Macaca mulatta: one gene and its partners. The protein of the gene in region 1 interacts with the protein of each later gene in a pairwise test. Links are inferred from orthologs where the notes say so. Each region holds a gene or a part of one and is shown in the gene's direction. Other genes may lie near its edges.

The links. The genes of interacting proteins can lie anywhere in the genome.
Region 2: the proteins of FHL3 (region 1) and PAK5 interact in a two-hybrid assay, tested with the Homo sapiens proteins (2 studies listed by BioGRID and IntAct). The two-hybrid records come from large-scale screens. The link is inferred for Macaca mulatta from reciprocal best matches to the Homo sapiens genes FHL3 and PAK5.
Region 3: the proteins of FHL3 (region 1) and SPMAP2 interact in binary tests that used the Homo sapiens proteins (3 or more experiments, as listed by UniProt). The two-hybrid records come from large-scale screens. The link is inferred for Macaca mulatta from reciprocal best matches to the Homo sapiens genes FHL3 and SPMAP2.
Region 4: the proteins of FHL3 (region 1) and CCDC198 interact in binary tests that used the Homo sapiens proteins (3 or more experiments, as listed by UniProt). The two-hybrid records come from large-scale screens. The link is inferred for Macaca mulatta from reciprocal best matches to the Homo sapiens genes FHL3 and CCDC198.
Region 5: the proteins of FHL3 (region 1) and KIRREL2 interact in binary tests that used the Homo sapiens proteins (3 or more experiments, as listed by UniProt). The two-hybrid records come from large-scale screens. The link is inferred for Macaca mulatta from reciprocal best matches to the Homo sapiens genes FHL3 and KIRREL2.

The regions. Positions count from the first base shown.
Region 1 is NC_133406.1:202,787,307-202,793,727, forward strand, and holds the start of FHL3 (four and a half LIM domains protein 3), read left to right. Parts: upstream 1-2,626; 5' UTR 2,627-2,813; intron 2,814-3,100; exon of another isoform or gene 3,101-3,443; coding exon of another isoform or gene 3,444-3,585; intron 3,586-6,421. UniProt on the Homo sapiens protein: Recruited by SOX15 to FOXK1 promoters where it acts as a transcriptional coactivator of FOXK1.
Region 2 is NC_133415.1:74,157,135-74,163,406, forward strand, and holds the start of PAK5 (serine/threonine-protein kinase PAK 5), read left to right. Parts: upstream 1-2,289; 5' UTR 2,290-2,439; intron 2,440-6,272.
Region 3 is NC_133424.1:1,025,013-1,031,259, reverse strand, and holds the start of SPMAP2 (sperm microtubule associated protein 2), read left to right. Parts: upstream 1-2,264; 5' UTR 2,265-2,393; coding exon 2,394-2,860; intron 2,861-4,046; coding exon 4,047-4,169; intron 4,170-4,470; coding exon 4,471-4,542; intron 4,543-4,961; coding exon 4,962-5,023; intron 5,024-5,776; coding exon 5,777-5,846; intron 5,847-6,247. UniProt on the Homo sapiens protein: May be involved (but not essential) in spermatogenesis.
Region 4 is NC_133412.1:130,592,827-130,599,178, reverse strand, and holds the start of CCDC198 (factor associated with metabolism and energy), read left to right. Parts: upstream 1-2,369; 5' UTR 2,370-2,628; coding exon 2,629-2,851; intron 2,852-5,321; coding exon 5,322-5,404; exon of another isoform or gene 5,405-5,409; coding exon of another isoform or gene 5,410-5,451; intron 5,452-6,352. UniProt on the Homo sapiens protein: May be involved in tuning the metabolism, energy expenditure, and excretion processes.
Region 5 is NC_133424.1:47,105,066-47,110,838, forward strand, and holds part of KIRREL2 (kin of IRRE-like protein 2), read left to right. Parts: intron 1-8; coding exon 9-169; intron 170-787; coding exon 788-938; intron 939-1,587; coding exon 1,588-1,693; intron 1,694-1,807; coding exon 1,808-1,956; intron 1,957-2,186; coding exon 2,187-2,314; intron 2,315-2,399; coding exon 2,400-2,532; intron 2,533-2,817; coding exon 2,818-2,918; intron 2,919-3,081; coding exon 3,082-3,301; intron 3,302-3,764; coding exon 3,765-3,869; intron 3,870-4,198; coding exon 4,199-4,308; intron 4,309-5,773. UniProt on the Homo sapiens protein: May regulate basal insulin secretion.

The DNA.
Region 1 (6,421 bases):
ATCGCGCCTGGCCCAGATCTGGTCTTAAACTGTTGGGCTCAAGCAATCCTCCTGCCTCAGCCTCCCAAAGTGCTGGGATTACAGGCAAGAGCCACCATGCCCAGCCAACCATCAGGATTTGTATCCTAGCTTTGCCATTATTACCTGTGTCACCCTTGCCAGGTTACTTAATCTCTCTGTGCCTCCATTTTCTCATCTTTAAAATGAGGATGAAAATATATATTTAGGCCAGGAGTAGTGGCTCATGCCTGTAATCCCAGCACTTTGTGGGACTGAGGCAAGAGGATCGCTTGAGCTCAGGAGTTCAAGACCAGCCTGGGCAACTTAATAAGACCCCTGCCTCTACAAAAAATTTAAATTAAAATAAATTAGCTGGGTGTGGTGGCCCACACCTGTAGTCCCAGCTACTTGGGAGACTGAGGTAGGAGGATCACTTGAGCCCAGGAGGTTAAGGTTACAGTGAGCTGTGATTGCACCGCTGCACTCCAGCCTGGGTGACAGAGCAACACACTGTCTCAAAAACAAACAAATATATATGCACATATATCTAATAAAGTTATTGAATAATCACTTTAATATATGTAAAGTGTTTAGGAGTGGTGCAAAGAAAGAACTCAGTAAGTACTGGCTCTCATTAAGACTATTTAGGAGAGATTAGAGCCATGCATCAAGAACAGAGATTCCAATACTCTGCCTTTTATCAGGCCTCTTCTGTACTCACTCATTTCCCCTTGCTTTCTGAAGGCTCCCCACCTTTGCGCTCCCGTCCCCCAGAGCTGACCTCCTCTTGGTACCCACTCCACCAAGGCTGAGTAGTCTTCACTGCACTCCCCTGGGCTGGGAGTCCCTTACACCTGCCAGATACATCCCAGAGAGGCCGGGCATGGTGGCTCATGCCTGTGATCCCAGCACTTTGGGAGGCTGGGGCAGGCAGATCACATCACAAGGTCAGGAGTTTGAGACCATCCTGGCCAATATGGTGAAACCCCGTCTCTACTAAAAATACAAAAAAAATTAGCTGGGTGTGATGGTGCGTGCCTGCAGTCCCAGCTACTCAGGAGGCTGAGGCAGAAGAATCGCTTGAACCTAGGAGGTGGAGGTTGTAGTGAGCCGAGATTGCGCCACTGTACTCCGCCCTGGGTGACAGAGCAAGCCTCTGTCTCAAAAAAAAGAAAAAGAAAAAAAAAATCCCAGAGAAAGTCCCCATCCATGGGCTGGATGCTCACTGCCTGGACTCCAGATAACAGGTGCCTGTGATACAAACCAAGGATGTTAGACGGGCATACATACTGAAGCAGTGTCTGCTATCCATTCATTCATCAGATGTTTATTATGTGCCGGATATTGAAGTAAGTACTGAGAAGGCTGTGGGGAACAAAACGGAGCCCTGCCTTCATGGCTCTTACCATTTAGGCAACAACAGCAATAATAAACAAGCAATAATTTAATTTTGAAAGGAAACCAGGCCTGGAGGGTGACTTGGGACCCAGGAACCCAGGCATGACACAGAGATGGGAGGGAAAGGTTCTCAGGAGTCCCAGCCTGGGAGGGTGTTAGTTCCTCTGTGAGAGCTCCGCTGCACCCAGCCTGGGGTGTGGGGAGGCCTCTGTGGGCACCTGAATCTTCACTCTAGACGCTAAGGTTATTCCAGGGTTGCTTTGTTGTCTCTTGTTTCCACTAACAGCACAGTAGAGCCTCCTGCCTCCCTCCCTCCCCCACCCCTTCCAGACCGAGGCTATTTATTCCTAGTGACAAGCCTGAGGATCCCAGGGGGGGTGGCCTCAAGGACCTGGAGGGGCCTCGTGTCCCTAGCAGGCGCCAGTCCTCCCTCACGGACACAGGGAGGAAGCCAGAGGTTTAGACACTGCAGAGGTCCCCTCCCCTCTCCTCCACCACCCCTGCAGTGCCCCATCCTCTCACACTCCTCACACCCCACCCTAGAAGCCCAAAGATCATGGGGCCAAGGATTAGGGTCTCTCCTGGGCCTCAAAGGTCAAAACTATTCCTGGGCACTGCGGAAACCCAGGCAAGACAGGACTTCTCAGCGTCAGGAGGCCACTGGAGGTGGGGAGGTGGTTACCCCTGTTTTTGCTACTCAAAGTTGTGGAGTAAAACCCTTTGGAGGTCAAGGCCCTGTGGTGGGGAGGGGTCCTCTCTTCGCCCCATGTTTTCAGAGAACACATTGGTGCCCGCTGACAGGCTCATGACAGTAGAGTCAAAACCTCCTCCTCCAGGCTGGATTAAGGCCAGGTTGAGTGTCACCCCTAAGGGTAAGGTGAGGGGGTGGGGAAATCCGAGGAGGCCACAGGACTCTTCCCCAGTGGACCATGGTCTGTGGGGTCTGATGTCCCCGGCCTGAGATAGAATACAACAGTCTCCCTCTGGCAGCTGGGGACGGGGGGGGGGGGGGGGGGGGGGGGTGGGAGGGGAGGAGAGCAGAGGCTGCGGGGAGGGGACAGGGGCGGGGTCCCGGCCGCCTGAAGGTTGGGAGAGCCAGGTTAGGCCGGGCAGGAGGAGGGGGCCGGGCCCGCTGGCGGCCGAAAGGGAGGTGGGGGCGGGGTCTGGCCCCCGCAGCGGGCTGGGGGGCCGGGGGCGGGGTCCGGGCGGGGCGGGCCCGCGCTCACTTCCTCGGGGAGGGGTTGGGGCCGCGCTCCCACTCGCCCACACGGTCCGTCTGCAGTCGGCAGCCTAGCCGGCAGCTCGCTCGGCCCCCGCTTGGCCCGGCCCGCAGGTAGGAGCCGCCGAGGGACGCGGCGCCCGGTTCCCCGCCCCGCCCGCGCCGCGCGCTCCCCGCTCCCGCCGCCCGCTTCGAGGTGAGCGCCCCGCCGACCCCGGCTCCCAGCCCCGGCAGTCCGCCCCCGCGCCCAGGCCGGGGAGCGAAAGGACCCGCGGAGGGCTGAGGCCAGCCGCGGCCCCGGCCCCCTGTACCCGCCAGGCTCTGGCCACAGGTGCCCGGGGCACGCCGAGCCCGGGAGAGCGCCCGCCCGGACTAGACCCCTCCGGGCTGCCGGGCGGGGCGGGGCGGGGGCGGGGGTGGCAGCGAGAGTTGGGCGGGGGAGGGGGCTAAGTTTGAAATAGAAAAGCCGGATAGAGACAGACCGACCAGAAGCGCTGGAGAAACTGAGGTTCTCGCAGAGCCCAGTGGAGCGAGAGACCAAGACAGGCAGGGACTCGAGGCACAGGAGGAGGCTACCGAGACCATTGAAACAAGGACACACCGGGCGTACAGTGTTACCGGTGGACAGACCCGAGACATGGGGGCCGTCCCAGGCTTTCTGGAGCATTTTCAGAAAACATACGTGGGACCCCAGCGAACACATTCCCTGGGGCCCTTCCCCAGGCCTTGGAGGTGCCCTGAGGCTTGGGCGTCATTGGCCTCAGGCTGAATCTGCTCTCTGAGGCCTGCAGAGACACTCAGAGACTAGAGACAGAGACACTCAGGCATGCAGAGGTGGCGAAAGAGACTTGGATATAGAGACAGAGAAAGGGATGTGGTGGGGATTGAGACATTCAGCCATGTAGACAAGAAGAGACCAAGACTTGAGATCCACAGAGGCATGGGCCGCCGGGGGACAGCCAGTCAAGGTACAGAGTCGTCCAAAAGCTAAAGACAGAAGCTGTGTCCAGACACAGAGATGCTGAGTGAAGCAGAGACAGACACCGGAGACTGAGACTTAGTGGGGGCAGAGAGACCTAGGTGGGCTGACAGCTTCCAGGACAGCCCCTGACTTACCCAGACCTGAACCATTGGGAAGTGAGGCTCTGGGGAAACAGAAACTCTGAGCCCACCAATCCCCCATGGGGCAGAGGCCCTGAGACAGTAAGTTCGAGATCAAGAAGAACCCCGTGGACACACACAGCCACCAAGACAGCCCCAACTTATTTTTAAACTCAAATCTTGGACAGGCTGCCTCTGCCCTGGGGGACCCAGGGTGAATGAACTGTTCCTCTCCTGTCCCCAGAGCAGCTGCGGGATCCTGCTCCCCAGCCCCCTTCCCTAGACTTCTCTGACTTCCAGGTCCCATGGGGGAGAGCAGAGCTTGGGGTTGGTGCCCGGTAGCAGAGGGTGAGGGTTGAGGGAGTTGAATTTCTCCCCTTAAGTCTCCTGTCAGCTTCTAGAAGGTGGGGGAGGGGTCTGTTCTGATCCTGACTCACAGCTGTGGGACCTGGCCGGGGTCCTCCTGGATAGTGGGCATGTTGGGGGTGGGGGACAGAAGAGTTGAATGGTTGGCATGGGGCATTGGAAAGGCTTCTGGGTGCCTTCCAATCACAGGGCTGGCAGCTGGGGAGAAGAGCCAGGCTCTAGTGCATCTCCTGTCCCCCTGCCCTTAAAAGCTGATCATCCCCTTCATCACCAGGGCAGTATTTTTAGGGAGACAGAAGAGCTCTGGCCTGGGAGGCAGGGGACCTGGGTCCTGATAACTGAGTGACCTCGGGCATAAGCCTGCTCTATTCCTGCCTCCTTGTGCTCATCTGTAAAATGGGGATGATACTCTGTCCTGCCTGCCTTTTGTGAGATCTGATGAGATGGTGGTGGGCATGGACTTTGTGAGTGGCAAAGCAGCATGCAGGTGTCTACACCTGTGGACCTGTGTGGGAGATCTCAAGAGTTATGCTTACTAGAGTCAGGCTGACTGGGCTGGAGCAACCACTGCCCCCACTGGTGTCCTCAGCAAGCCCCATGGGCCTGGGGCCTCCTATTCTCTCCCTGGGCCTAGGCTGAGAATGTCCAGGTCAAATTTCAGACAAGGCTGGGCACAGTGGTTCACGCCTGTAATCCCAGCACTTTAGAAGGCTGAGGCCAGAGGATCACCAGGAGTTCAAGACCAGCCTGGACAACATAGTGAGAACCCCATCTCTACAAAAAACAGAAAAACCTAGCTGGGCATGGTGGCATGTGGCTGTAGTCCCAACTACTCAGGAGGCTGAGGCAGGTGGCTTGCTTGAGCCCAGAGTAGGTTTTTTTTGTTTTGTTTTGTTTTTTTGAGATAGAGTTTTGCTGTTGTAACCCAGGATGGAGTGTAATGACATGATCTTAGCTTACTGCAGCCTTCACTTTCTTGGTTCAAGCAATTCTCCTGCCTCAGCCTCCTGAGTAGCTGGGATTACAGGCGCCTGCCACCATGCCCAGTTAATTTTTGTATTTTTAGCAGAGGTGGGTTTTCGCCATGTTGGCCAGGCTGGTCTTGAACTCCTGACCTCAGGTGATCCACCTGCCTTAGCCTCCCAAAGTGCTGGGATTATAGGCATTAGCCACCTCACCTGGCTGAGCCCAGAAGTTTAAGGCTGCCGTAAGCCATGATCGTGCCACTGCACTGCAGCCTTGGCAACAGAGTGAGACCCCAACTCATAACAAAAAAACAAAAACAAAAAGGCCTAGCCGACACCAGCCTGGCCAACATGGTGAAACTCCGTCTCTACTAAAAATACAAAAATGTTTAAGCCGGGTGTGGTGGTGCCCTCCTGTAATCCCAGCTACTCGGGAGGCTGAGGCAGGAGAATCGCTTCAACCCGGGAGGTGGAAATTGCAGTGAGCTGAGATGGACTTACTGCACTCCAGTCTGGGTGACAGAGTGAGACCCTGTCTCAAAAAAAAAAAAAAAAATCTGAGCTGGCATGGTGGCTCACGCGTGTAATCCCAGCACTTTGGGAACCCAAGGTAAGAGGATAGCTTGAGCCCAGGAGTTTGAAACCAGCCTGGGCAACATATCAAGACCCTATCTCTATTTAAAAATTCCAGTCCAGGCAGGGTGCCGTGGCTCGTGCCTGTAATTCCAGCACTTTGGGAGGCCATGGCGGGCAATCATGAGGTCAGGAGTTCGAGACCATCCTGGCTAACACGGTGAAACCCCATGTCTACTAAATATACAAAAAATTAGCCAGGCATGTTGGCACACACCTGTAGTCCCAGCTACTCGGGAAGCTGAGGCAGGAGAATCACTTGAACCCAGGAGGCAGAGGTTGCAGACAGCCGAGATTGTGCCACTGCACTCCAGCCTGGGCGACAGAGCGAGACTCTGTCTCAAAAAAAAAAAAAAAATTCCAGTCCAGCTCCTTGACCTAGACCTGCCTGTGAAACTATACTGGGGCTATCTGGCCCCAGTATGAGTGAGGGTGCTAATAGTAAAATAATAGCTACTATTTTCTGAGTATTTATTATCTGCCAGGTGCTTTACAAGTATCATTACATTTAAGCCTGACAACAACCTTAGGAGGTAGGAAGTAGTAGTATCTCATTTAGTTAGATGGGAAAACAAGCTTGGGGAGCTTAAGTGACTTGTGCAAGATCATCCAGCCAGTACGTGTAGGAGCCAGGATGCAAACCTTGTAGCTTGAGCGGCTTCATACACCATAGCCAGTTACACAGCCATTCTGAGCTCCAGGAGGTTCACTGGGAGGTGCCTTGTGAGGGGAGATTGTT
Region 2 (6,272 bases), on another chromosome or scaffold:
CAGCTGACGGAGGTCTTTAGCTGTCTTTGCCTTTAAGGATTGCCAGAGCTGCCTGTCTTAAGTTCATGCCCCTCCTAGGAACAGCCCATGCTCAATGATTGATGTGGATATAAAAGACTGACTATCTCAGACCAACTCATGGTCATTCTGAAGAATCATCCTAGCTAGTGAGCTCCCTAAGGGGCTGACAAAGACTGCAATTGGCCTGCATCACAGCTTAGCTTCCACCTCTGCCTGCTCCTGCTTCCTGTATCACTCCCACCCACAGATGTTGGTCGTTAGTCAAATACTGCAGACTAAACTCTCAAGAAATGACATTACATACAAAGAAAACCCTTAGGAATTCATGCAATGCAGTATTTACAGAAATAGTATTATTATTCATCTATAATTTTTACCTTGCATGCTTCCAAAATAAATTTGAGGCAGCTAACAATCATCATCATATTTAACTAGCAGAAACAAACATACGAACACAAACTTTATGTATAACAGGAAGGCTATTTTAAGTGATTAAAGTTCAACATTCCAAATAAAAATTTTAACTGATACTAACCAATGACAAACTCTATCTCAGTAAAAATATGTTCTGGCTTTTGCATCTATGTGAGCACACATATAAGAAAATCAAAAGTAGAGAATACTTATGCATATAGTTGTGGGTGTGACAGTGGTGGCAGTGGGTAGGTTGTTAGGGCTGTGTGCAGCTTTGAGAAGGAAGAGATGAATTTAGAGGCTCTTACTCCTCTAAATGGAAAAAGAGAGTATGATACACAAGGACACAGGACTACTGAGGGAGAAAAGTAATCATCCATTTATCCTGTGGTTTCTGTTTTGAGATGGCCAGTACGATATTAAAGGTACTAAGTGAATGGAAAACAAGCAAGGGGAAATGATAACTGTTATACTATTAGCTAGAAAACTGTCTAAGGTCATTGAGTATAGTAGGGAATGGCAAGATACAAATCCTTATTTTGTAACCTGCTATCTAGTTATGGGATCAGATTCCGTATCCACTACTAGCTCATAAGGGTACCCTTGTGGCAGCTGAAGACAGACAAGGGCGTGGCTTCTTCATTTCCAAGGGTGAAACCTCAGGACTACTTCGTGAATGTCTTTCATTCACTAGAGTCTTGATAATGCTGGAGACTTCAAGAGTCTGGGAGGTCAGTAGGCAACTGGGAAGTTTAAGTTGAACCGCCAAATATCATTGCAAACTTCAGCCCAAACATCACTCAACACAAAGGCTTGTCATCTCTTGGTCCAAAAATGCGCTATATGTTTGTCATAATCTGTCAGTTTTCTTAACTGGGCAAGCCCAAGCTTGCTATTAGACAATAAACACTTTGATGCCCAGTCTGAGTTTTTGTCCCAGCTCAGGAAAGGCAAGGGGACAGCCAAGGCAGACTGGTTCAGACTTGATCAGGGCAGCTCAACCAGCAACTGGCTTACTAGTCAACTAGCAAAGTGAGCATGAAAAGGTCCAGGAATCCTTCTTCCCCTGGGCCTTAAATTGTAAATCAGACAGCAGCCAAGGAGAAGCTGGGTGGTCAGAAGCTTCGTGGAGCCTACCCCCACGAAGACTCCTTCCAGGGAAGGCCCAGCAACCCCAGGCTAGAGGAGTCTCTGTGGACACCAGAGACCATTGCTGGGCTGGCGGATTGAAGGATGACCACTCAGAGGTCACAGATAAGGGGTTATCTAGATCCTTGCTATTCAGAGTGGTGGGAGGGCCAGCAGCAGCAGCATCACTTGGGAGGTTGTTAGACTTGCAGAATCTCAGGACACAGCCAATTGAATCTGAATCTGCATTTTAATTCACAGGCACATTAAAGTTTGAGAAGCACCGGTCCAGGTGGTGGCAAAGCAGCCAACCCGATGTTCTGCTTCTCAGCCCCTCCTCCTCCCCACCTCTGCTAGCCTCTTAAGCAAAGCTCAATCCTGCAATGGTCCTGAACAAAATTTCTGCAAATCCCGAGTGCTGGGGGAGAGGGCGTGCAGGAGCTGCCCCCGCCGGGGACCGCTGGGAGTAAGCGTGACTGGATTGGTCGCCTGCTCCAGCTCCCGGCTCCTGCACCCGGAGTGTAGACACGCCCCCCGACCCTCCCCCTCACCTCCACCCCCGGCCGCAGCTACCGCCTGCCTCCCGCCGGCTGCAGCGAAAACCCGGAGCAGCTGCGTGCGCTCATGGACAGTCCTCCGAGGAGCGAAGCCGGGCAGCTGGGCATGCTCAGTAACTGGGGGAGGTTTGGGTGGAGAGTAGAAAGCTGTGGCTCTGCCTCCCACCCCCTCCCGCTGGCCCCCGCCCCCCTTGCCCCTACCCAGCCCGTAGTAGTTCCCCAGCGTGCGCCCGGGGAGACCGGGAACATGGCGCTGGGAGCGCTGTAGCAGCTGAGAAGGGGCTGAGGCACCGCCGCTTCGCTGACAGCCGGCCACCAGGTAGGCAGGCGCGCCTGTCGGGGCTGCCTGGGTGGGTGTCCGCGCGAGGAGAGGCGCCTGCGGGGATGCGCGCCGCTGGTACCCGGAGCATCTCGCTTTGATGGGAGAGGATGCGAAGAGGACCTCCGTGACAGCGAGATCATGCATCTCCTAGGAGATGCAAAGGCTAGGGACCTGCTGCCTGGAGGGTAGGGATAGGGGACCGCCCACCCCCAACCCTTGCGCTACTATCCAGCCTGGGCTCTCTACGGGTCAAATAAAGGATAGTTCCATTTTGCTGGGCGGGAGGGCGTGGAGGAGAACCCCGGATTCCAGCCCTGAGATCCTGCTGGTACCCCGAACCGCTCGCAAGCCCAGCACCAGTTCTTTGTGTGTATACAGCCGCGCACACCCTGGGGGTGTCACGGCGCTGCTTTTCCCGAGGAGTGCTGGACATATTGCCAGGGCAGGATTCCCGTATGGTTTTTGTCTTTTGGCAGGTGTGGACTGGAGGATGCAATAGCTGAGCCTTTATGGGGCTGTGTTTTCCTTTGTTATTTGTGTGTGTGTGTGTGTGTGTGTGTGTATGTGTGTGCGCGCGTGTGTGTGTGCGCGCGCGCGCGTGGTGGGTTGTAATGGAGAGAGAGAGAGAACTTCTGCTTGTGGGCACCCTTGTGGGCAGGGCGTGGAAGAGGATCTCGGTTCCAAACTCTTGTCAAAATTGTGTGCCATGTCAGCCTCCTAGAGGGTAAACTTGAGAAGTCCAGGGATCATCACTGCTCAGTTTGGAGGATAAGCGCGATCGCCCTTCTTGAAACCGTGTGTGTGTGTATATGGAGCTTTCAACTCGGGCTGAGTTAATTTGTCAACATTAGATATCAATTAAGGAAACCTGAATCGCTGAGGCTATTTATGGTGATCTTTTTATGGCCAGAATAATAAACAAAAAGAAAAGTTGGCACAAAGCCAGAGGAAAGTGTCATTGTTAATAGTTGATGACAGCTTGAAAGACTGAACACACTTTTAGGGAAATCAGGAAACCTGGCATTCTACAGAGTTCTACCAAGATATAGCCACAGGGTCTTAGGTAACTCACAAAATCTCTTAGTGCAACCGCTTCTCTTTTGGGGCTTGGAGGCTGTAGACACTCTTTTTCTTACCTGATACAGATGGACAAGATGCTTTTTAGAAGCCCCTCCCACACTAGAATTATATGAAAATGACACCCTATAATAACAGCTCTGCCACCTTAGATTTGTGTATCTGTTATATTCAATAGTACAACAACTCAATGTTGGGGAGAAAGGTAAACAGGTTAGTTAGGGAGAAAGGTAAATTTAAAGTATGGGTTTATCTTTTGCTTTATAATATAAAGGATAGGCATCTTGGATATGAAGTTTGGAGACAGTTTCCTCTGCACTCGTGCTATTTATTTTTATAGTCTTGTTAGGTGGCGAGAATGAGTCAGTATCATCAAAATGAAGTGGAGGAATACATAAGGAAAATGCATTTAAGTAAATCAAAGCCATAAATGTCCAATCTGATGATAATACCTTGACTTGGAATACATATGTGCAAGGCAGGTGCACTGCTAAATGGAAGCAATAGAAGCCAATGGCAAGTTCCTGGGTAATGCTGACCTTAGACTAAAAATTGTGTGTTCTTCTGTGAATAGGTAGAGATTGTACTAGGTCTCTGCAGCTTGTTATTTTATTAATAATGTGAGTTTTAATTGCTATTAATTAGATATCAATTGAAAATTGATATCTAAGCATTGAATCAGTTAATATCTAAGCACTGAAAATCTAGTCTGGCAGTGCCTTTCCACTCTGTCAGGGCCTGCTGAAATGCTGTAGGTATGGGAGGCAGGCATTTGAAATCTGACTCTTCTGTGTTTAGCTTTGTGATTCTGGGAAAATTACTTAACTTTCCTAAGCCTCAGTTTCCTCACTTATAAAACAGTCCTGGGAATAGTAAGACCTACCTAGATGAGTAGATGTATGGATTACTCATAATTTAAATCACCAGGAAAATGGTGATGACCATTATGAGTAAGAGGGAAATGGATATTTACTGAATCTATACTATGTGTCCTATATAATGATTCAGGCTCAGTTAATTCCCTTAAATTTCCCAACTATATTAGTTTCCTAGGGCTGTTATAACAAGTTACCAAAACTGGGTGGCTTAAAACCACAGACATTTATTCTCTCATAGTTCTGGAGGCTAGAGGTCCAAAATCAAGGTGTTGGCAAGGCCGTGCACCCTCCAAAACCTCTAAGGGAGGATTCTTGCTTGCCTTTTCCAGCTTCTGGTAGCCCCAGGTATTCCCTGGCTTGTGGCAGCATAACTCCAATCTCTGCCTCTGTCTTCACATGGCATCTTCCTCTCTGTCTCTGTCCCTGTGTCCAAATTTCCCTCTTCTTATACGGACATCATTCATAGTGGATTTAGGACCTGTTCCTTATTCAGTATGACCTCATGTTAACCAGATTACATTTGCAAAGGCCTGACTTCCAAACGTCATATACACAGGTTCTGGATGGGCATGAATTCTTGGGAGACACTCTTCAGCCCAGTACACCAACATCCCTCTGAACTGTGTTTAATGACCACATTAACATTATGTTAGCATAAGAGCAGAAGGTAAAGATAGAGTAGCATAGGTTCAGAAAATACTTTAAAGATTATTTAAGGGAACTAACCTATTTGAGGCTTTATATACACAACCATGGTAGGGAAGAGCAGGGTTCAAAGGTACCTCACTTATACATGTCACTTACCTGGGAGCCACGACAACCCAGGACCTGGGTCTTCTAGAGTATCTCAAACATACTCTGTCCCCAAATGATTTGTTGATGTTGCTTTCCATCCTTTTTGCTACCCTTCCAAGCAAATGCAAAACAAACAAAATGCATTAAACAACAAAAACAATAATAGCAACAAAGATAAGCTAACAACTTTCTAGTCCTTCTTAACCTGGTAAATGGCACCACTATCCATGGAGTTGCTTTAACCAGAAACCCAACCAGAATCACCTTTGACACCTCCATTCCCTTGACCCTCCACATTTAAAACCATCATATAGTCTCATAAATGCTATTTTCTATATAGATCTCTAAATACATCTTAATAAATTCTTTCTATCCCCGCCACCACCACTATCAAACTTCAAGCTACCATCTCTTACCTGGACCACTAGTATAACTTCCTAACAAGAACCTTGGTTCCTTGCCTGGCTCTTCTAATCCTTCATGCAGAGCAGATAGGATAATGTCAGTTCCCTACATAAAATACCACCCACATACCTGGGACAGATTCCAGAGACTCCTAGAGCCTTTGGTACTTGGCCAGCCTCATCTTGTGCATCTCTTCCTCTTGATGCTGTCACACTGACCCTCTGTCTGTTTCTGAACATCCCCAACCATCTTCCCTCTATATTTTACCAGTGTGGGTCATACTCATCCCTTGGGCTTCCTTGACCTCTCTTCCCCACCAACCCAACTCTCTCATCATCCTTTTACTTTTATTCCACACACTTATTCCAGTTTGCAATTGCCTGTTTGTTTGTTTGGCTATGTCTGTAAGCTCTATAATGGCCATTTATTTTATGTCTTATATGCAGAAGGTCCTCAATAAACATTTGGCGAATGAGTGAAGGAACGAATACTCTGCCTCATAGCATTTTCCTGTGCCAACTTAAAGATCTGATTTTTAGAAGGTTTTTTTTTTTCTAGTGTAGAAAGAGCAATTTAGAACCTTATTCTGACTTCAAAAGGGGAGTATTCTTGGCTTTAACAAATGCATCTTTTAAGAACTGATTTAGGCTAGAAGTTAAGAATTGAGTCAAAATA
Region 3 (6,247 bases), on another chromosome or scaffold:
GTCAGGAGATCTAGACCATCCTGGCTAACACGGTGAAACCCCGTCTCTACTAAAAATACAAAAAGCTAGCCGGGTGTGGCGGCGCCTGTAGTTCCAGCTACTCGGGAGGCTGAGGCAGGAGAATGGCATGAACCCGGGAGGCGGAGCTTGCAGTGAGCTGAGATCGCGCCGCTGCACTCCAGCCTGAGCCACAGAGCCAGACTCTGTCTCAAAAAAAAAAAAAAAGAAAGAAAAATAAGTCACTGAGTGCAAGGTGAGGGTTTAGGAAACTTCAGGCCAAGAAAGGGGGTTTTCCCACGGCCTCCTGGATGGGACCAGACCCTCCCAGGGGCCTTTCTGCCTGGAGTCCTCCGAGAGACCCCTTTCCCGACAGCGGTGATGGCGCGGCTGCGTCTGGGAGCAGAGCATCCGGGAGATGGGACGGGGAGCTGGAGAGGGCTTTGCGTGTGTTGATGAACTGGGTCTCTTGTGTGCCAAGTGGTCACATGCCCGGACGGCTGGCCCCACACTGGTGGCAGGGGTGAGGGACACAGCAGGACTCTGGGGTGGGCTAGCACTGGGTGGGGGTGGGGGTCTTAGGCCTGGGAGCCCAGAAAGGGGAGGGATGGTCAGGGACTCTCCCTGCATGGGGGACCGACAGGCTTGAGTCTTCAATGATGAGTAGAAAACCACCAAGCACAGAAGGGGGAAGTGCTGGGCAGAGGCACAGGGGAAAGGCTGGGTGGGGCACAGCACGGAGAGGGAAAGGCTAGGGGGGCACGGAGAGGGAAAGGCTGGGTGGGGCACGGAGGGGGAAAGGCTGGGTGGGGCACGGAGGGGGAAAGGCTGGGTGGGGCACGGAGGGGGATAGGCTGGGTGGGGCACGGAGGGGGAAAGGCTGGGTGGGGGCACAGCACGGAGAGGGAAAGGCTGGGTGGGGGCACAGAGGGGGATAGGCTGGGTGGGGCACGGAGGGGGAAAGGCTGGGTGGGGCACGGAGGGGGATAGGCTGGGTGGGGGCACAGCACAGAGGGGGAAAGGCTGGGTGGGGGCACGGAGGGGGAAAGGCTGGGTGGGGCACAGCACAGAGGGGGAAAGGCTAGGGGGGCACGGAGAGGGAAAGGCTAGGGGGGCACGGAGGGGGAAAGGCTAGGGGGGCACAGCACAGAGGGGGAAAGGCTGGGTGGGGGCACGGAGGGGGAAAGGCTGGGTGGGGCACAGCACAGAGGGGGAAAGGCTGGGTGGGGGCACGGAGGGGGAAAGGCTGGGTGGGGCACAGCACAGAGGGGGAAAGGCTAGGGGGGCACGGAGAGGGAAAGGCTAGGGGGGCACGGAGGGGGAAAGGCTAGGGGGGCACGGAGGGGGAAAGGCTAGGGGGGCACAGCACAGAGGGGGAAAGGCTAGGGGGGCACGGAGGGGGAAAGGCTGGGTGGGGGCACAGCACGGAGGGGGAAAGGCTAGGGGGCACGGAGGGGAAAGGCTGGGTGGGGCACAGCACAGAGGGGGAAAGGCTAGGGGGGCACGGAGAGGGAAAGGCTAGGGGGGCACGGAGGGGGAAAGGCTAGGGGGGCACAGCACAGAGGGGGAAAGGCTAGGGGGGCACGGAGGGGGAAAGGCTGGGTGGGGGCACAGCACGGAGGGGGAAAGGCTAGGGGGCACGGAGGGGAAAGGCTGGGTGGGGCACAGCACAGAGGGGGAAAGGCTAGGGGGGCACGGAGGGGGAAAGGCTAGGGGGGCACAGCACAGAGGGGGAAAGGCTAGGGGGGCACGGAGGGGGAAAGGCTGGGTGGGGGCACAGCACGGAGGGGGAAAGGCTAGGGGGGCACGGAGGGGGAAAGGCTGGGTGGGGCACGGTGTGGCAGAGGCGGGAAATTCAGCTCCTTTGACGAGCTGCAAGGAGGTCCGGAAGGCTGCAGCCTGGGGAATACTCCAGTTATAACCATGATTTTGTTGTGAGAATCGAACAGCCTAGTTTGAAGTTATTTCTCAGGAGAGGTTGGAGCCGGAAGGGTCTGTATCCCTGAGGGTGCAGTTCTAGCTGCTGCGGATTGGAAACTTCGCCAAAACCACTTAGTACTGAGGACACTTATTGTTTCAAGTAACGAGAAGCCTGGACACAGGGTGGATTCCAGAGCTGCTAAGTTCAGAGGCTTGACAAGGGCATCAAAGACCCGCTTTTCAGTCCATCTGCCCTCGGGCTGGCAGGCCTCATGGTCACAAGGCGGCTGCCTGGGCTCTGGACATTACAGACGGGCCCAGCAGTGACAGCAACGGGAAATGCGGTCTCTTCCTTGTGTCTCCTTTTAAGAGAGGGAAGCCATATCTAGATAACCCCTGCAGGGTCCCCTCAGGCCTCCTTCCTAAACCAGTCCTGGGAGGTCCCTGTGAGCCACGACTGCCAGGACTGAGTCCTGATGCCAGCGCAAGCCCAGGTGACCGGCATTGTAGACAGCGCAGGGGTTAGAATGTGGACTGTGGAGAATGTGGGGGACACTCTCCTGTTGCCGCGGCCACCACAGACACATTTGGGTGCTGAGGGAGTGAGGCCGCGGGGGCTGGGAAGGGACCTGTACATGGGGGACAGCAGGCGAAGGTCACTCGGGAACCAGCCCAGCTCTGAGGCTGCAGGCAGGTTGGAAAGGGAGCTCAGCGGTGACCCCCGTGGCCTCCAGAGCTCTGTGTACGAGAGCCGGCGGGTCACAGACCCCGAACACCAGGACCCGGACAATGCGGAGCTGGGACCGGAGGACCCGGAAGAGGAGCTTCCCCCCGAGGAGGTGGCCGGGGAGGAGTTCTCGGAGACCCTGGATCCCAAAGAGGCTCTTTCTGAGTTGGAGAGAGTTCTGGACAAGGACTTAGAGGAGGACATTCCTGAAATCAGGTGGGCACCGCGGAGCGGCCCTGCCCGGGCGCGGTGGGGTAGGGCAGCAGCCCCCTGGGCGCAGGCCCCTGGGCGTGCGAAAGCGTTGTTCCCGGCCGCTGGCCTGGCTCGCCGAGGGGCCCAGGCTGCCGAGTCAGCCTAGGTGTGGGCCTGGTCAGCTGGCGGCCAGCACCCCTCACTGGGCCCTGAGGCAAACACCAGCACACGCTCCCCTAGCCAGTGGCAGGAGGTGGAGTAAACAGCGCTGAGTTTGGAGTCAGGCAGACTGAGTTCAGGTGCCCAGAGTTCACAGTTTAACAAGTGATGACCTCAAGTCAGACAGCGAGAAAAAGAAATGGGGAAAAAAAAGCCTCCCAACTCAAAAGCTGAAACAATTCTAAGCACCACAGGTGGCTAAAACGTTTTAAATGGTCGGGAGGAACACGTTCAGGGTGAACGAACGCTTCAGCGAATCGGCACTGGGGGCAGTGATTCTGGGCAAGTTGCCCGAGTGTCCGCAGCAAGGCGCGCACTGTACCTACCTCTGGAACTTGGCTCCTGCCCTCCCTGCAGTGTGGTCCCGGCCCACGCCCACACCCAGGTGCTCCCTTCTCACCGTGGTCTCCGTGCTGCCCAAGAACAAAGCAGCGGCCCTGTCCTCACGGGGCCGTGCTAGCCTGCAGAGAAAACGGCAGTAGTGTGAGGGGCTCCCGGGGAGGACACGGGAGCCAAGAGCTGCGACAGGGCAGACGTCCTGACGTTTGGCATCTTCGCCTGCTGCCTGTGTCCCTCCCGCGGTCTGTGAGCTTTCTGGGAGGCAGGCGCTGCTCTCTTTAGAGGCTGGTGGCCCCTCTGGGGCCTGGCATACAGTAGGTACTTGATAAATGTTTGTGAGATGCGCAAACATTATCTTAGAACTCACTGAAACAGCCCCACCAGGTGGGAGCTGGTCTCATGTCCAATTCACAGAGGAGGCGGCTGAGGGCCTGGGGAGCCGGGTGCCCTGGCCAGGGTCTTCCATCCAGCCAGCAGTGGAGCTGCGGTTTGGTCCAGGCCTTCGTGGTGCCAAAGTCCTCCCCCAGAGACCCTTCTCAGGAAAGGAGAGGCGGGTGGGCAGGGCGCTCGAGCAAGACCTACGCTTCTCTGGGCCCCCGAACGCGTCAGGGCGAGAAAGCAGCTCCAACTTCAACGTGGAATTCTCCCAAAGCCGGCTGTCCATCAGCCAGAAGTTCCCCAGCACCATCATGGCCAAAGCAAGGAGGAAGAGGCGGCGGAGGAGGCTCATGGAGCTGGCAGAGCCCAAGATAAACTGGCAAGTCCTGAGAGACAGGTGAGGACAGGCCAGACCAACCATGGCCTCGTGGGGGCAGCGCTGGGGCTTCCTCTGTCCCCTTCCCGGGCTCCTCCTGTCCCCACTGCTCGGCTCCCCTCCCACAACCGCCACCACATCCAGCAAACTTAGGGTAGACGGGGTTGGCCAGTTAAGGAGGTGGCCAGACGCCGGGACTGGCTAGGGAACTGCGGCCCTCGGTGGCCCTCTGGGCGGTGGCCAAAGGAGAGTGAGGAGTTTGGGAGCAAACGGGAGACCCAGGGCAAAAGGCAGTGGGGGCTCGGACCCTGTCTCCTCGCAGGAAGGGATGCTGTGGTAAGGGGTATGCCTGGATTTTCCCATGCAAGATGAGCTTACGGTTCTGTCTCTACTGGTAAGTCCAGGGCTGTCTCCTCCATCTGCCTATGCCGGGGGACACGTGTCAGGTTCCGGGGAGCCCCTCCACTCGAGCCACCCTCTTCTCTCTAGGGAGGAGGATGGGGAGGGCTCCTCAGATGTGGGGCTCTCCACCCTTGTGCTTTGGACTCGGGCAATCGGCTGGGACCTGGGTCTGCTCCCAGGAGATGGCCCTGGGCCCTCTTCTGAGCTATGCTTTTCCCCAGCTACCTCCCTCTCTGGACATCAGCCTTGCTCACAACAATCCACACGTCCCGGTGGCCCCCTCCCTCCTACCCCCTCTTCCAGCAACTCCACACCCGCCCTTGGCCACCCTCCCGGCAGAGACCCAGGCTTGTTTCCGGGCAGGGCCAGGGCTCTCTGCCTCCCCTGCCCTGAGCTGCTCACTTATTCCAGGCCCTCTGTGTACTGGACCGAGCGGTTCCTTGAGGACACCACCCTCACCATCACAGTGCCCGGTAGGTGGAGCCCGTGCCTGCTGAGACCCCTGCCTCCGGCTGCTGGCCTCCAGGGAACCTGCCCCACCCCATCCAGATACTTCTGGCCTCCCTTGCCCCATATCCTGGGAGCCTCTGTCCTCTCCACTGGAGTCTGTCCCCTGAGGAGCCTGAGCTGAGACTGGTCCTGGGGGTGAGGGTTGTGGGGAACACGCTCCAGGACAGGGCCAAATCGGGGCAAGAATTTACAAGAAGACCCCCGGCTTTCCCTTCCACAATGATTTCCATGCTTTTCTTGAGAGGAATTTGGTATTGAGGTATCATAGATGCCTTCAAATGAGACACTTCGAGAGTTCCCCATAGAGGAGAGTAATAGTCCAGTTCTCTCCTGTGCTGTTCCTGACTTTAGACCCACAGTCATCACTAGGCCCCCGGAAACCCCAGGCTTGTACTAACTTCAGAACAAAACCCAGTTTCCCAGATCTGTACTGAGCCCCATTGAGGAGCCACGGGGCTGAGCTGCCATTCCAGCCCTGCCACTCCCATCCCGTGTCCGAGCAAGGACCTTCAGGCCTCTGAGCCCATTGTCCCTAAATCAGGGACAGCAAGTCTTCTCTCTGCAGGGTGTCTGGTCCCCAGCTGTCTCTGCCCACAGTTTTTCCAATTCGGCCTCCTGCCCAAGCTCGTGAAAAGCTGAATTCCGCATGCAGAGCCCCTGGGAACTGCAGGGTGTTTACGCTGGGGTTCACCGACTCCGTTTCCCGTTTTGCGCAGCAGTGTCCCGCCGAGTGGAGGAACTGTCTCGGCCCAGGAGATTCTACCTGGAATATTACAACAACAACAGGTACGGGAAGGATGGGAGGAGGACTGGGTGCCTACTCGGAGGGCAGAGTTTGGCAGAAATGCCTTATTCTCCCCTGACAGGATGCGGCGTGGGGAAGGGTCCAGGTCCTAGCTCTAGGCAGCCTGTGTTCAGATGGGGCTGGCCCGCTTCCCAGCCCACGTCCCCAGCAGGCTGCTGGGCCTCTTGCAACCGCATTGCCAGCTGTGGAATGCTGGCGGTGGAGGTCACCCGTGAAAGGGGCTTTACACAGTGCCTGACACAGCGCGTGCTCAGATGTTGTTATCACCATTGTGACTGTATTTTGTTTACTCGAAAAAGGTAGAAATTGTAAGACATATTATGTACAAAATTCTTTATCACTTAGAGCCCCCGTGCTTGTTAAAAGTGATACTGAGTTATTT
Region 4 (6,352 bases), on another chromosome or scaffold:
TTCAAGGTCACATTGCCTGTGGAGCTGCTCCAGACTGAGGGCTTTCATTCTTCCTGGCAGAAATAGCACACTTGGCTATGAGTTCCTGCTCCTCCCCATCTCCTCTGGGGCCTCACCACTTTCTCTTAATACATTTTTCTCTGGACACTATCTTCAGCTTTAGAAAACTTTAGCTAATCGCTTCTGAGCTTCATCTTAAGAGTTTTATAAATTAATATTCTCATTCCATGTTCATGAATTCTGACTGTTACAAATAACAGCATATTTTATCATTTTTAAACACAATAATGTATAGTCACAGTCATTCTTGAACTAGGGAGTGGTCATTATAAAGTATCCATAAAGTGTTTGGGAAGTAGTCAAGGTTTTAGTTGGGTGAGAGCTTTTTAATGTTTTACAACTCTAGCAATAAGAAATTACATCTTATATCGAACTCTATACGTGAAATTAAACTCTCCTTTTTCTCTTTTCATAAAATTTAAATGTTTCACTATCATTTTAACAAAATCCTTTCAGCGTATGAATATTTTCTCATGATAATCCTTAGACATGGTGGTTTTCCCAGTAACATTGGCCAGATTAATTTACCCTTCCCTCATTGGTCTTTTCTATACCTAGGGGCAAACTCCTTTAGACAGGAATATGTCTGTTTTAATTTCTGACCAGTTGGCAACAAGGACTATCCTATGCACATGTAGATATGTAGCAATACTTCCTCAGAGGAGGAGGATACTGGCTAATGATTACTGTGAGCTTACTACATGTCAGGTATTATTCTAAGTGCTATAAATGGAATCAGGTTCATTTCCCACAAAGTATTATTATTAACCCCATTTCACAGATCAGGAAAGTCACAAAGCTTGATAGTCATTAGTAATGAAAAGAGAAAGAAACACAGAAATGCATCTTTATTTCTTTAATCATTCCTTCAATGACTAACCAATTTCCTCAACAAAGGCTCATGTTCTCCACAAATATTGTCTGAAAATTAAATAATAATAAAACAAAACATAAGAGCTGAATCCCTCTTACTGGTCCAGATCCATGAAGTCCACAGTTTTCAGCACAATGTCTAGTTCATTTGTTAGTTTGTAATACATTCCTCTGCCCTTAGAAATAATTAAACTGATTGTACCCCAAAATAAATCTTACTAGACCTTGTTCAAGTATTTTTATCCTTGTAATTAAACTAGTCTGTTTACCAAAAGTTGTTTTGTTTGCAGATACTGTTAATATATTAGTCTTTACTTATAAATCTCTCTGCTGCAGAGAAAATGATGTGGAAAATGCAAAGAGAATAAGGAAAAAACTAAATTCAGGCATCTTTTTAGATAAATGTGATTGTCTACCAAGACTTTCCAAACACCACCTTAGTCCCTTAGGAAATGGATTCTGCAAAGATGAAAAATACATTTTCTTTTAATTTCTCTATGGAGATGTGATGAACACACAAGTAATCTGTGGTCATGAACAATTAGAGCTTGAAAGTTAGTCCCACTTCTAAGTATAAAGAATAAAATAAAAATCACCCATAATCCCACCATTCAAAAATCACTACTCAATATTTCAGCATATTTCCTTCTAGTCTTTTTTCTACTTTAAAAATCATAATAGGCCGGGCACTGTGGCTCATGCATGTAATCCCAACACTTTGGGAGGCCAACACAGGTGGATCACTTGAGATCAGGAGTTTGAGACCAACTTGGCCAACATGGTGAAACCCCTTCTCTATTAAAAATACAAAAATTAGATGGGTGTGGTGGTAGTAGGTGCCCATAATCCCAGCTACTTGGGTGGCTGACTCAGGAGAATCACTTGAACTGGAGAGGCAGAGGTTGTGGTGAGCCAAGATCATACCACTGCACTCCAGCTTGGGTGACAGAGTGAGACTCTGTCTCAAAAATAAATAAATGAATTTAATTAAATTTAAAAACATAGTAAATAGGCTATCTTTTTATGTTTAAGAAGTTTTTCCCCTCATCCCCAGGAAAAAAGTTTCTATTATCCTCCTGTCCTGCAATGTATTCATCCCCTTCAAAGGCAACTGAAGTCATCAACAGAAAAATCAAATGACGCTTTAGCCACTCCGCTGCTTTCTTTCCTACTTGGAGGATAAATTCTTCAATTAAATTAAAGATTAACAAGGCCTTGGTAATTAGCATGCATCCTCTTAGTTGCAAAGATGGCTTAGCTATTCTCAGCTGTTAGTTTTTTTACAAAGGTGCTTGCAGTGAAAGCGTCAAGTTCAAGACTTCTCTAAACCTCTGCTCTACATCTCTCTCTGTGTTAATAATCTTCCTGGTGTTAGATATTTGTTTAATGATCAATAGTGGCTTCTATTCCTATCACTGAGTATTTCAGAAAGCAGCATAACCAAGTCAATGTTTAACTGGATTCTTTGGGTCTGAAATGGCAAAGTTGAAGGGAAGTCTCCATGGAAACCAGCCTCCCAGGAAGTGGCCAAAAGGGTTAGTGTGCAGTGAAACAGAGCTAGAAGGATGCCATGAAGGAAATGACTGCTTTGTAAAGCCAGGGTAAACTTCTGAAATGCCTTGATTAAAACAAGCTATATTAAAGACCCCAAAACCACTTTCCTCGCAGCTTTCCTCTGAATGTCTTTCACATGAAATGGGCCTGAGTCACTCTAAGACTCACCCGAGGGTGATCAAAGTAGCACCTTTGCAAAACAAAGAGGTAGAGACTCCCTCAGCTGGCCCTGTGGACTTTGCATTCAATCAGAATTTGGAAGAAAAGACTTCACATTCACTGGCAAGACTGCAGGACCAGAATAAAGCCTTGGAAGGGCAGCTGCCACCTTTACAAGAAAACTGGTATGGAAGATACTATGCAGGTAAACATAAAACCCAGCATGAGATGTGTGTATCTGGACCAAGGAGCATTATTAATAGATTTATCTGACTGTCTCCATGATCTCAGAAAGTTTCTAAATTACTGAAATGTAGAGGAATTTAGGCTATCTTTGAAAACTCAAATCTTTCAAAGAGGATTGAATGTCAATTGAAAGTATTCTGGGTGCATTAGAATGGGAGTATAAACTGTACAAAGGGCTTTTCACCATTCCATATGAGAAGGATAAATCATTTTGTTTCAGCTCAGTTTGTAATGCTTTCAATATTTATACCTAGCTTTGACAGACCATTAAAATTATATAGATACTAATGTGATAAATGATAGCAATCGCATTTCAGTTAAATTCTAAATTTAAATCATTCTCTCCAGTATAGTTTTATGCACCGGGCTTTGTGGTTTTGAAAGCAGCACTTTAAGAGTGAGTTAATTCTAACATGAATTTTGAAACCACCCTAAACAGAATTGATTTATTACAGTACATTGGAGTGGATGAGTCACCCTTTTCCCAACCCCACATTCTTCATGGTCATCTGCAGAACTAACAGAATTCTTTCCCACTATGATTGGAAGCTCTGAGCCTGAAGTGGCTATAAATTATCCTGGAATATTTTATAAGCCATGTAAAATGTTTTATCATGACCACAATGATAATTAAACAGACATCTTCACTTAGAAAAATATATGTTTATTTTTTATATATATATATGCATATGTATATTGTTTTCCCTTTCCTTCACCTTCTGGATCAATAACACAAATAAGTTTCCCTTATTGGATGCCTCATTCAGAAAGCCTCACATTCTCTTTTGGTACCTAGCAAATCTTGCCTGGAATGATTTTTCATGTCTACTGTCTGCAGAATTGATAACCTTTGGTTGTTTCTATATGGCCTATTTTTATGTTCTTTATGGTCTTCAAGTTCTTAAGCACATAGATGGGAATTTTCCCCTTAGGAAATTTTTTATGACAGACGAATAGGTGACAAGACACGATTTAAAAAATGGAGGGTGAATGTGCACTAAGAGTATGCAATGCTCCTACTGAGGAATTCCCTTTTTATCCAAATCCCCATTGAGAGTTTTAAGATTTTGGTGATAGAGAGAGACTCTGTTTCAAAAAAAAAAGATTTAGGTAACTGAATAAATGGTGAAAGCTGATTCATGTGCTTTAGAGTCCCAACTGGAAAACATGCTTATGTCTGAAGTGACAAAATCACATTGAAAATAAATAACAAGGAGATCATGAGGATTCTCATGATGATCTCCCATATTCTCACCGCAGCTCCATCAAATACCAAATCGAACGACCTTGGGCAAGTTACTTCATCAATTTTTTTCACTTGTAATCAGGGGTAAAAATAAATGCCTGACACAGCCTATGCCATTTGAGGAGAATCTAATTAAATAATGGACTAACATCACTAAAATAAAAAAATAAGGATTAGTAAGATTTCTGAAAAAATAGCTGAAAATACTTACATTTTTAAATCCAATATGTTTGTTGTTTCCATCCTGCTCAATATGCTGGCATCTTTTCAAAAGAAAATAAGGACATAGTTTGCATACCACTAAAAGTCAGAGAGAACAAAGTCCTTAAAGCGGTCATTCACATGTCTTAAAGAGAAAGATGCATAATTATCCATGGATTTTTCCATTTAAAATGCAAAGTGGGACTGTAAAATACTCTGTGAAACAATCTAGAAATCAGAATGTGTCCAGATTATTAAAAGGGAAAGACAAGAACTGCACTCATGCAGCGTTGGTCATGGTAGCACTCCCAAGAGCTCAGGATAATCAAGCTGGAAAATAAAATCCATAATGGATCTGTTGAGCCTCTCTGTTTCCTAATAGAGGCTTAACTCTGTATCCCTGGCTTGTTTCATCAGGAAAGAATATTGATATGCTGTATTATAGTGGCAATCTGTGGAAATTTTTTTCACTAAAGGGGCTATTGAATTGTGTTCACACATACTCCATTTCTGTCTCATCTCTGTATAATCACCTATCTATCTATCTATCATCTATTTCATCTAAGAAGATTATTTTCATTTTTTAAAGTTATATATTTTTCTGATGTCTTATATTTCAGTGAGGAGATTTTATGGAATTAAAACAAGTCAATAAATTTCTATTTTCCAGGCCAAATTCTGTTTGAAAAATATTTGCAGTCAACATATTGGTAATTTTGTAATTCTTCCCCTAAATATGAACCTGAGTAGGAAGTTAGGAGAGCAGATATTAAATCCCAAGTCTAGACTAAAACAGTGTCATTTGCACTAATGTAGGTTCCCTGCTTTCTGTGTTTCATCTCCACATTCAACCTACAGGTTAGACATATATAACTGGAAAGGTACAAAATTGTGTTGATAAAGTCTAGTAACTAATGATTACCTGATCTAATAGTAAATTATATTTAACGTTTTATTCTTGTTTCTTCTCCAATCCTTCAAGCATCCAGAGATGTGGATTTTGACATCCCACTGGAACACAGAGAAACAAGTATTATTAAAAGGCATCCACCCCAAAGACTTCAAGTAAGATGAATTTAAAAGGCTTCATAAGGAATTTCTTGGATATAATGGTAACATCCCTTTTTAAACTATAATCATCAAAGAGGGACATTGATAATGACCAAGCTATTAATGAGAATGTTCTTAAAGAAAAATGCAATCAGTCACAAATACTCTATTACTTTAAGATTTTCCTTTAGCAATGATTTTGCTTTTAAGACCGGCCACCGAAAGAAGCAAGTTTAGTAGCAAGGACATAAGTATGATGCAACTCAAGAGGCTTGAATCTAGCACTAATTAGTTGAGTGACTATGGGAAAACAACTTGTAATAAATAATAACAGCTACTACTATTTAATTATACCTACTATACCTACTACAAGTCAGATACTATAACAGGCAATTCAATCTGTTATTTATTTAATCTTCTTAGCCATCTATGAAAAGGAAGAATTATCTTTGTTTTATATATGCTAGTCAGAGAGTTCAGTAACTACCCCCAAAGACTCACAGAGGTCAGATAGCAACCAGGTCTCCAAAATCTGTACTCCTAACTATCAGCGTAAGTAATTTCTATAGTCCTTCTATCTTTAACCTTTTATTGTTCTAGATGTTAACTGGTTGTTTAAATTCAGGACATTGGATTCCAAGGAAGCAAAGCAAGAGCTTTAAACACATTCACCTTAATAAATATTTAATGGGTTCTCTGTAGATAGCTATACATTTTAAGAACTCTCAACCTAGAAAGGGAATGGGTAGTTTGGAGTGGTCCTTGAAAATGAGCATCATTGGAAGGAGGGTTTAGGGCTCTCTTGTGAGCAGGATCTATCACTGACATTTGAAGCCAAATCCCACCTGCTACACAATTCACCCACATGCCTGGACCAATCCCAGAGGTACTGGAGCTCATTTGTTGGGGATTATTTCTGTTTCAGTTGGTTTTTCTTTACCTGTCTTCTGCAGAAGCTCACAG
Region 5 (5,773 bases), on another chromosome or scaffold:
CCTTGCAGTCCCCCCAGAAGCTCCCCAGGTGCTGGGCGGCCCCTCTGTGTCTCTCATTGCTGGAGTTCCTGTGAACCTGACATGTCGGAGCCGTGGGGATGCCCGCCCTACCCCTGAATTGCTGTGGTTCCGAGATGGGGTCCGGTTGGATGGAACCACCTTCCATCAGGTGAGGTCCAAATTCCTGTGCTAGCCTTTGCCCATTCAGGAAAACTTGGGGTACACTCTGACTGCAGGCTCATCCCGAGGAGAAGAAGACATGGGAGGGCAGGGGTTCAAGGGTTTGGACTCTTGAAATATGATGCCGGGTAAAGATTCTAGGGCCAGACTACCTGGGTTCAAATCACGTCTCAGCCACTTGCTAGTTGATTGATCTTAAGTTAGTTAACCTCTCTGTGCCTCAGTTGCCTTATCTATACAATTGGAATAATAATAGCATGCATGTCATAGGGTATTGTGAGGATTAAATAAATAAATACCTATAAGTTCCCAGAAGAGTGCCCAACACATAGTGAACCGTATATAAGTAAGGCAAGCTTATCCAACCTGTTGCCTGTGGGCTGCATGCAGCCCAGAACGGCTTTGAATGTGGCCCACCACAAATTCATATACATTCTTAAAACATTATGAGCCTTTTTTGTAACTGTTTTAGCTCATCAGCTATCATTAGTGTTAGTATGTGTGGCCTAAGACAATTCTTCTTCCAATATGGCCCAGGGAAGCCAAAAGATTGGACACCCCTGATGTAAGGGGTAGATGGCATTATTATTCTTATCCATCCCTCCAGACCCTGCTGAAGGAAAGGACCCCTGGATCAGTGGAGAGCACCTTAACCCTGACCCCTTCCAGCCATGACGATGGAGCCACCTTGGTCTGCAGGGCCCGGAGCCAGGCCCTGCCTGCGGGAAGGGACACAGCTATCACACTGAGCCTGCAGTGTGAGTGCAGCTGGCCCTGGGGAAAAGGGGTGTGGGGCCCTGACTCCTGGGTATGAGGAAGGAGGGGACTGTGGCCCCTGGGGAATGAGGAAACTGGGACCTTGATTCCTGGATCTAAGAGAGTAGGAGAGGGCCGGGTATGGTAGCTCATGCCTGTACTCCCAGAACTTTGGGAAGCCGAGGTGGGTGGATCATCTGAGTTCAGGAGTTCGAGACCAGTCTGGCTAACATGTCGAAACCCGTCTCTACTAAAAATACAAAAATTTGCCGGGCGTGGTAGCACATGTTTGTAATCCCAGCCACCTGGGAGGCTGAGGCAGGAGAATCACTTGTATCCGGGAGGCAGAGGTTGCAGTGAGCTGAGATCGTGCCACTCGGCAACAGAGTGAGACTCGGAGCAGGAGAGGACAGATGGCTGGGGTCCCTGGGGAAAGAGGAAGCTGGGTCTTGACTCTCACATCTTGCAGAGTAGGAAAGGATAGAAGTAACTGGGGGAATTGGGAACTGAAAGCCCAGACTCCTGACTCAAAGAGAGAAGGGGATTAGGGGCCCAGACTCCTGGGGTGGAGGAACCAGGAACTGGACCCCTAGGCCAGTGACAGAGGTGTTCCTGGTCCTTGCCCACCTGACCATTGTCCCACCCTCACAGACTCCCCAGAGGTGACTCTGTCTGCTTCACCACATACTGTGCAGGAGGGAGAGAAGGTCACTTTCCTGTGCCAGGCCACAGCCCAGCCTCCTGTCACAGGCTACAGGTGAGGACAAAGACCACCTCTCCCTAGCCCCAAGAGTGAGCTTGGGAAGGGCTGGGACCTGAGTAAGTGTGACGGAGAGCAGGGACAACGCTAACAGCGCCACCATTTCCTCAGGTGGGCAAAAGGGGGCTCCCCGGTGCTCGGGGCCCGCGGGCCAAGGTTGGAGGTCGTGGCAGACGCCTCGTTCCTGACTGAGCCCGTGTCCTGCGAGGTCAGCAACGCCGTGGGTAGCGCCAACCGCAGCACTGCGCTGGATGTGCTGTGTGAGCTGGGGCGGGGCTGTGGGTGTGGTCAAAGGTGGGCGAGGCTTTCAGGGTTGCTGAGGGGCTTGGAGGGGCGGGGCTGGGAGAGTGGGCGTGGGGTATTAGGAGGAGGAGAGAGTGGACTTGGGGCATATTCTTGCGCCCTAGAGGGTGTGGTGTTTCTATGGGGCTGATCCCGGGTCAGGGGCTATTCCTCCCCGGCCTTGTGACCCCTCATCTCCTTCGTCCAGTTGGGCCGATTCTGCAGGCAAAGCCAGAGCCCGTGTCAGTGGACGTGGGGGAAGACGCCTCCTTCAGCTGTGCCTGGCGCGGGAACCCGCTTCCACGGGTAACCTGGACCCGCCGCGGTGGCGCGCAGGTGCAGCCCTAAATCTGAGGCGGTGGCTGACGGGGGACCAGGCTTCCTTGCAAATCCGGCTTCTGACGCCCCTTCCCTGTCGCAGGTGCTGGGCTCTGGAGCCACACTGCGCCTTCCGTCGGTGGGGCCGGAGGACGCAGGCGACTATGTGTGCAGGGCTGAGCCTGGGCTCTCGGACCAGGGGGGTGGCGTCGCGGAGGCTCGGCTGACTGTGAACGGTGAGAAGGCGGGGCTTCCTAGGGGACCTAGCCCGTCCTGGGATAGGGAGTGGACAGAGGGGGCAAGGGCTAATGCAGTGGGAGTGACCTGGAAGGAGCTTTACACCCAGCGGGGCCTGGAGACCGACCTATTGAAGGCGAGGCTTTTAGGGGAATTGGAGTTTGGAGGCAGCATGGCCTGATTGATTAAGGTTAGCGGAGAGTGCGCTGGCCAGACCCGGCTTTGTTACAGCCTTTGGGGAGGGCAAGGCCTCTCCTCTGAGTGACCCACCGTCTCCATCCCAGCTCCCCCAGTAGTGACCGCCCTGCACTCTGAGCCTGCCTTCCTGAGGGGCCCTGCTCGCCTCCAGTGTCTGGTTTTCGCCTCTCCCGCCCCAGATGCCGTGGTAAGGAAATGTCACTCCTCCCGTGACCCATCCAGCTGTGATCCCTGACCTCCCACCTGGCCCCCTGAAACTACTGTGACCATCTCTGACTTCCCAGACATCCCTCCTTCTTCTTCCTCCCCTCCTCAGTCTCCTCGGTGTCCTCCCTCTTTTATGCCTCCAGGTCTGGTCTTGGGATGAGGGCTTTCTGGAGGCGGGGTCGCGGGGCCGGTTCCTGGTGGAGACATTCCCTGCCCCGGAGGGCCGCGGGGGACAGGGTCCGGGCCTGATCTCTGTGCTACACATTTCGAGGACTCAGGAATCTGACTTTAGCAGGAACTTTAACTGCAGTGCCCGGAACCGGCTGGGCGAGGGAGGTGCCCGGGCCAGCCTGGGCCGTAGAGGTGAGACCCCAGCCCTAAGACCCCAAATCTGGAGAGTCTAAACCCCACAAACTCAGGGATCCCCCAGCCGATGGTTGCAAAACCTCAGACCCTCAAATGCAGAGACCTCCAAACCTTGGGAGTCTCAAAACTGTGGCTCGTTGATTCCCAAGACCCCCCCAACCACAAGTGCCTTCACATTCTGAATCCTAAACCGAGAGACTCCTCACACCTAGGGACCCCAAAAAGAGAAACTCCAACGATTGCAAAGCAAATTGCAAAGTAAAGGACCCCTCAAACTCCAAGACTTCCTAAAGCCAGGGAGTTTAAACTCACTCTCAAACTTGGGGAACCCCAAATTCAAGGGCCTTTGAATTTCCAAATGTGCGACCTTTTGAACCCAGGGATCCCAAACTCAATCCCTGAGCCCCCGCTTCCTGGTTCCCCCTCAGCCTTCTCAGGATGTCCCCTCTGCTCCCTGCAGACCTGCTGCCCACTGTGCGGATAGTGGCCGGAGTGGCCGCTGCCACCACGACTCTCCTTATGGTCATCACTGGGGTGGCCCTCTGCTGCTGGCGCCACGGCAAGGGTTAGTGCCTGAGCCCCGCCCCAGCTCCTCAGGCCCCAGCCCCACACACACCCTGCCTGCCCAGTGACCTGACCTGGCCTTGGGCCTTGGCTCCAGTCCCATTTCCAGCTCTGCTCAGGGCTTAGCTCGCCTTCAGGTTCTGGTTCCCTCCTTAAGCCCTAACCAGACCTTCCTAGGGTCACATTCCTAGGTGTGAAGGATTCTTATCGGTTTCCAACATCCCCACCCGATCTGCCTCATTGGTTCCCAGTCCTCTCTCTTCCCGCTTATTGGTCTGCACACATTGTGACCCCGCCCATCGCTTAACTCCACCCGTCGCTGTTCGTCAGCCTCAGCCTCTTTCTCCGAGCAAAAGAACCTGATGCGAATCCCCGGCAGCAGCGACGGCTGCAGTTCGCGAGGCCCTGAAGAAGAGGAGACAGGCAGCCGCGAGGACCGGGTAGGATGCCAGGGTCTCCAGACCCGACTGTGCCTTCAGACCCAAATAATAGCCCAGTCCCAAGAGGGCCCCCAAATTCAAACAGGACTCTAAGGCCGGGCATGGTGCCTGACCTTGGTAATACCACTTTGGGAGGTGGAGACACAAGGATCACTTAAGGCCAGGAATTCGAAGCCAGCCTGGGCAGCATAGCGGGACCCCATCTCTACAAAAATACAAAATAAAATGAAATAAAATAAAAAATGAACCAGGTATGGTGGCACACACCTATAGTCCCAGCTACTCAGGACACTGAGGTGGGAGGATCCCTTGAGCACAAGAGGTAGAGGCTGCAGTGAGCTATGACTGCACCACACACTCCAGCCTGGGCAACGGAGCAAGACCCTGTCTCCATTTTTTTTTTTTTTTTTTTTAAGTAGGAGGGTTCTAGTTTTTTTTTTTTTTTTTTTTTTTTTAAACAGAATCTCACTCTGTCACCCAGACTGGAGTATAGTGGCACAATCTCGGCTCACTGCAACCTCTGCCTCCCTGATTCAAGTGATTCTCCTGCCTCAGCCTCCTGAGTAGCTGGGATTACAGGCGTCTGCCACCACACCTGACTGATTTTGTATTTTTAGTAGAGATTGGGTTTCACCATGTTGGCCAGGCTGGTCTCGGACTCCTGACCTCAGGTGATCCACCCGCCTTGACCTCCCAAAGTGCTGGGATTACAGACATGAGCCTCCACGCCCAGCCTGAGGGCTCTAGTCTTAACAGTGACCCCGCACCCAAATGTCACCCAAGTCCATGCCCCTGACCCGATTATTCCCTAGGCCCACTATATCCTCACAGCCCTTTCTTTTTTTTTTTTGAGGCGGAGTCTTCACTCCCTCGCCCAGGCTGGAGTGCAGTGGCGCGATCTCGGCTCACTGCAAGCTCCGCCTCCCAGGTTCACGCCATTCTCCTGCCTCAGCCTCCCAAGTAGCTGGGACTACAGGCGCCCGCCACCGCGCCCGGCTAATTTTTTGTATTTTAGTAGAGACGGGGTTTCGCCATGTTAGCCAGGATGGTCTCGATCTCCTGACCTCGTGATCCGCCCGCCTCGGCCTCCCAAAGTGCAGGGATTACAGGCGTGAGCCACCGCGCCCGGCCTTTTTTTTTTTTTTTTTTTTTTTTGAGACGGATCTTGCTCTGTCGCCCAGGCTGGAGTGCAGTGGCGCGAACTCAAGCTCCACTGCAAGCTCTGCCTCCCGGTTTTACGCCATTCTCCTACTTCAGCCTCCGGAGTAGCTGGGACTACAGGCACCCACCATCACACTTAGCTAATGTTTTGTTTTTTTTTTTTGCATTTTTTAGTAGAGACGGGGTTTCACCATGTTAGCCAGGGTGGTCTCGGTCTCCTGACCTCGTGATCCGCCCGCCTTGGCCTCCCAAAGTGCTAGGATTACAGGTGTAAGCCACCACACCTGGCCTTTTATTTATTTAT